Kluyveromyces lactis: one gene and its partner. The protein of the gene in region 1 interacts with the protein of each later gene in a biochemical or structural test. Links are inferred from orthologs where the notes say so. Each region holds a gene or a part of one and is shown in the gene's direction. Other genes may lie near its edges.

Region 1 (3,005 bases):
ACACACACGGAGCCTAATAAATAACAGGGCAAATATTTCAAATGCAAACCTCAATATAACTGCGGAAAAGAACTATATTACGTTGAGAGTTATTTCTACTACAACTAAGCTGCTCTGTATTCGGTGTAACACGTTGAAAGAGGGAGTAGTCATACCAGATTTGACCTCCGAGAATAAACCATAAAGTTCCCACCAACCTAAATAATCGAACCCTTTTTATATGCAGTTTTTTTCCCAAAATTATCCACTGCTTTACCAATTTTGTCAAATTTCCGATTGTTTCTGAGATTACATGGAAGAACGGATCAACTTCTCGCTTTAAAACCGCAACAAACACATGCCAATTTTCTTAGCCCCATCAGTCCAGTCAGCACAAGTAACTCTGTAAACCCCACAATAGCTAAAGATCTCGCACAACTAAAGTACTACATACAACCACCATTTTCATTTACATTTGTCAGTCATCAATTGCTTGCCTTTTACCCCAGATTCCGCAACATTAATGCACCGGCCGCTTTCTTTTTTCCGTTGTCCTCCCTATATTTCTGGGGTTTCCTGGAACAGCCGTAGGCCGTATTTTATGCAAGGCGATAGTAAGACGCACAAAATTTGCTTCCAGATGCAGGTTTTACATCATCCACAAAAAACAGCCTCTGTTCAAATCCCGACTGAGCTAATTTCCCCTTTTTCATTCAATATGGTTTTGTTGATCACGTGATTGGTGTATTACCCATTTACTCTCGGGGCAGAAAAAAAGAAGTCTTTGTCGTAAGAATTGAATATGAAAGTTAAAATGAAGAACAGAACAATGAATAAAATAGTGGTTACATATGTAGAAGTCTTTCCTCACGTGTATACTTTTTACTTCATTTGTTCTTGATATCGATTAAGCAAAGATACACTTCACTCGAACATAAGTGAGATTTCTTGGGCTGGCCCATTCTTTTTCCTAAATTTGCTAAACCAATTATTGTTTGTTTCCCTGGTAATTCTGCGAACTCTTGTCTTTGAATAATGGAAGTGTCGCCAGAGAGGTATGCTCCACACCTCTCTGAGTTTTATTCAATGATGAATGGAAAATCTAATAACAATTCAAACGATAGCACTAAAGACAAAACCAATACTGGCTCTCTTTCTCCATCGCCAGCGTCGCCCGAAACTGGAAACATGAGAAGACCGTCCTCCATCAGGTCTGGTCTAAGTACCTGTAGTATTACTGATCTTCGAGCATTGGTTAGTAAGGAAGATATTAAGAAAACTGAGAGCGGTGTAAAAAGTTTAGCGGATAAAATTTCAAAGTATTCTCAGAAGTTGAACGAGTTAGCTCAGTTCTCAACAGATATAGCGTTTGAATTGGAAGATATGGCACGCTTAAAAGGGTGCAGTGACCTTACAGCAGACAAATTTGTCAATGCTAGTGGTTTGTTCCATCTTGTGTCAAACCATGATAGAATCATCTCCAATTGTTGCGAGGAAGTGGTGACGAAAGGTTTGAATGCGAAAGTTGAAGTGTTAGAGACCGATTTCAAGAAGGAAGAAGTAGAATTCAAGAAACTGTTCAAGGAACAAAGTATTAAATTGAAGTTGCAAGAAAGGTATAATATGAATTTAGCGAAAAGGAAAATACGTAATTTGATTTCGTATCGTGATAACTTGTCCCTATTACAACAGCAGTTGGATCAATTGGAAATGCTTAAACACGATTATTATCAAAAGTCATACGAAATGGTAGAATCAACTTGTCAGGCAGTTCTCAGAGATATAGCTACATTGGCAAGAGCACAGATTGAGATAAGTGAAAATATTGCAAGAAAAGGTTGGTCCGGTGGAGGATTAGATAACTTGATAATAGACGCTGATGATCCTTTCAATACCGGTAATGAAGAAGAAAACGATGACAACGAACTTTCCCAACTATCTGGCGCATCTTCGCCAGGTTATTCACGGTCGAGTACTCTCACTCCTAAGAAAAATAGTTCACACTCATCTGATGCGTCTCTACTAAACGGATCTAGGCGATTGCAATCACCAGCGAAAGTGATGGTAACGACAGATGAAAATAAAGATAAAGATGATAACTCCGCTCATGAACATAACAACAGCAACTCCCCTAGTTTCCACTCCGAAAATCAGACAGAATCTGGGACTGATAACTCTGAAGATGCAGAAAATGACGACGGGGATGATAATTTCGATAACTCATTTTCTTTACCATTAACTAGTGCTTCGAATAACAAAGAAGTAAATAACTCGGATTCTAAGGATATTGTACTAGGGACTGATGATGTTATGAAATCTACCAGTGAACTGAATATTGACGATCAATCAAGTATTATTTCTCCCAGTTTGTGATTGAGGTATCCAAAAATGTAAAGCGGATCATGATTGATGAATGTTTTTGACATAATTGGGAATAAATATATGTAATTTTGTAACACTATAAAATGATAAAAAAAAACAGAGTCATAACAGATCACCAAATTGGTATATGCCCCATCCAAGGCTCCCTTGGCATTTGTTGTACAATTCTTTAACATTTAAATCGTCTTCTGTAGGTTCCGCAGCGCCAAGTGCTACAATTATAGGCACGAAATGATCCAAAGTTGGATGAGCTTTAAACAATAGCTCCTTACTCTTACCATCAGTAAAAAACGCCTTGAATTTATCCAGTTTATTATGCTGCTTCGTTAATAGGATATCGTTGAGAACTGACGTAAATTCTTCACTGTAATGTTTGCTACCAGCAGATCCCATATCACGTAAATTATGGACACTCATTCCACTTGTTAAAACTATACCACCCTTAGAACGATATTCTGAAAGAATTTGACCCAATTTGTATTGACTATCAAAATCGAGATCGTTACGGGTCAATGAAACTTGCACCAATGGAATATTATGTTGCACTAGCTCATCATTAGGAAATGCCACTTTCAATGGGACCCACACCCCATGATCAATGCCACGTTCCGTCAATTTGGCCCTTAAACCTGTTTCTGAATGAT
Region 2 (2,217 bases), on another chromosome or scaffold:
GTAAGACCGATGAGCTAGGTGATAAATAATAAACTGCAATCGATATAACCAGAACTAACACAGGTGTTGACAAGTTATACTTGAAGCTTAATTGTTGGAGCATACAATTTAGAATGACTTCTACAATTTTACCACTCAATTGAATTCCAATTTTGCAAAATTTTAGACCTAATCGATAGTTCGTATCCTTTATATACTTTAAAATCCAAATCAAAGTACCAATGCCTTACCCCGAATTACCAATACAAATGACTAGCCTAAGATGAAAACCTTAAGACAGACACAAGAAAATATACTTTCGAACAATGACAAATGTTCAAAATGTATAATAATGTATAATGATGTATAATAACATTGATATTTCTGAGGGAGTGCTGATCCTTTTGCAACTTACTCATCTTATATAAGCTCTCATCGGGTCCTGCAATAAAGTTCCTCTCCCTTTAGTAAGAGCTGACACATTTTTTTTTTCTGTCTACATTTAATAAGCAAGTATTCGCAACGAGTGTGATGCAGGGATGCTTATCGTGGTGCATTACCCTGATTAGTCAGGGTAATAAACTCAGTGTCTGCTTCAACACATTTGACTTTTATGGTTTTCAGTCAAGTAAATATTGAAATCCATATGAAAGGATGAACTTATTATTCAATTCAGAGTAATTATTTGTTAATAACGATAACACATTACATTCTTTATTAATGATGTTTTCTTGGCTAAAAAACGAATAATATTGATCATAGACAACTGCAGTGATCGAGCAAACTACACCTCGTTATAAGAAATACGTTATATTGGATATTCTGGTGAACGTTTTATATACTAAGGAAAAAAATACGATAGAATAGTTTGTCCTTGTTAATCATCATAGGTTATCTTCAAATTTAAGGAGAAAAGAAAAAGAGCATACAAGGTATACCTTCGGACCTTTATTCATACTTTTTAGTCACAAATTACCATGTCTAGGAAGAAGAATATTCTAAAAGTTATCATTCTAGGTGATTCGGGTGTTGGTAAGACATCTTTGATGCACAGATATGTCAACGACAAGTATTCTCAACAATATAAGGCTACGATAGGAGCAGATTTTCTTACCAAGGAAGTCATTGTGAATGACGATAAGGTTGCGACGATGCAAGTATGGGACACTGCTGGTCAGGAGAGATTCCAATCGCTTGGTGTTGCATTTTACAGAGGTGCTGATTGTTGCGTGTTAGTATACGATGTGACCAATGGTAAGTCGTTCGATAATGTGAAGTCGTGGAGAGATGAGTTTTTGGTTCATGCGAACGTCTCCTCGCCAGAAACCTTCCCATTTGTAATTCTAGCTAATAAAGTTGACGTAGAAGAATCGAAAAAAGTGGTTTCTTCTAGATCTGCGCAGGAGCAAGCTAAATCCTTGGGAAACGTACCTCTGTTCTTTACTAGTGCCAAGGATTCCATTAATGTCCAGGACGCATTTGAGGAAATCGCACGCAGCGCATTACAACAAAGTCAATCTGATGCGGATGCGTATGAGGACGACCTAAGCGAAGCTATCAATATTCAGTTGGACGGAGAACCTAGCTCATGTAACTGTTAACTGATAAAGCATGCGTCTCATCAAATACGACTGAAAGGGAAGGGAACAAATAGATTTTGTTGTCTTTTGCCCTTCCCTTACTTTCTTCACGCTAACCGTCAGAAAACACGCGTATTAGCGTTGGATTGTTCCCATACCGTATAGATACATCTCGGAACGAATCTTCAAGCAAATCTAATTTAACACACCTACATAGAAAATCTAAAGAAACTACGCTCCTTCGTGTAATTAGTCTTAATGTAATGTAATCTAAATCTCGAGTTGATATTAGAGTAACCATTAGCATGATTAGACTCTGCACAACACGTTTTGTTTGACACCTCTTTGGTGTCTTTGACCCCGACTTCTGTTTCTGATATGCGCACTTTATATAAACATTTGTACAGACACATGCCACACGTGCCGAAAAGTTTAATCTTCAATACGCTCTGGTAATTGCCGAAATGCAAGAACAAACTTCATACCAGTCGAAAACCTCGATCTGGTTGCGTCTAAGCTTGCTAGCCGTATTTCTAGTATAGTCACCCTTTTGATAATATATATATATATACATATATATTTAAATATACGTATATCTTTGATGGTATGGCTATTGTTTGGAACTAAAATATTGGTTTACGGGCCTATTTCATTATCT

What was found. The genes of interacting proteins can lie anywhere in the genome.
Region 2: the proteins of IVY1 (region 1) and YPT7 form a complex in vitro, tested with the Saccharomyces cerevisiae proteins (2 studies listed by BioGRID). The link is inferred for Kluyveromyces lactis from reciprocal best matches to the Saccharomyces cerevisiae genes IVY1 and YPT7.

What each region holds. Positions count from the first base shown.
Region 1 is NC_006039.1:1,304,087-1,307,091, forward strand, and holds IVY1 (Ivy1p), read left to right. Parts: upstream 1-1,014; coding exon 1,015-2,352; downstream 2,353-3,005. Other genes in the region: KLLA0_C14993g (DODA-type extradiol aromatic ring-opening family dioxygenase), read right to left, coding at 2,464-3,005. UniProt on the Saccharomyces cerevisiae protein: May be required for vacuolar fusion. Overexpression leads to fragmentation of vacuoles, missorting of the vacuolar enzyme carboxypeptidase Y (CPY) to the exterior of the cell and accumulation of multivesicular bodies inside the cell.
Region 2 is NC_006040.1:109,828-112,044, forward strand, and holds YPT7 (Rab family GTPase YPT7), read left to right. Parts: upstream 1-956; coding exon 957-1,580; downstream 1,581-2,217. UniProt on the Saccharomyces cerevisiae protein: Ypt/Rab-type GTPases are key regulators of membrane trafficking and intracellular vesicular transport.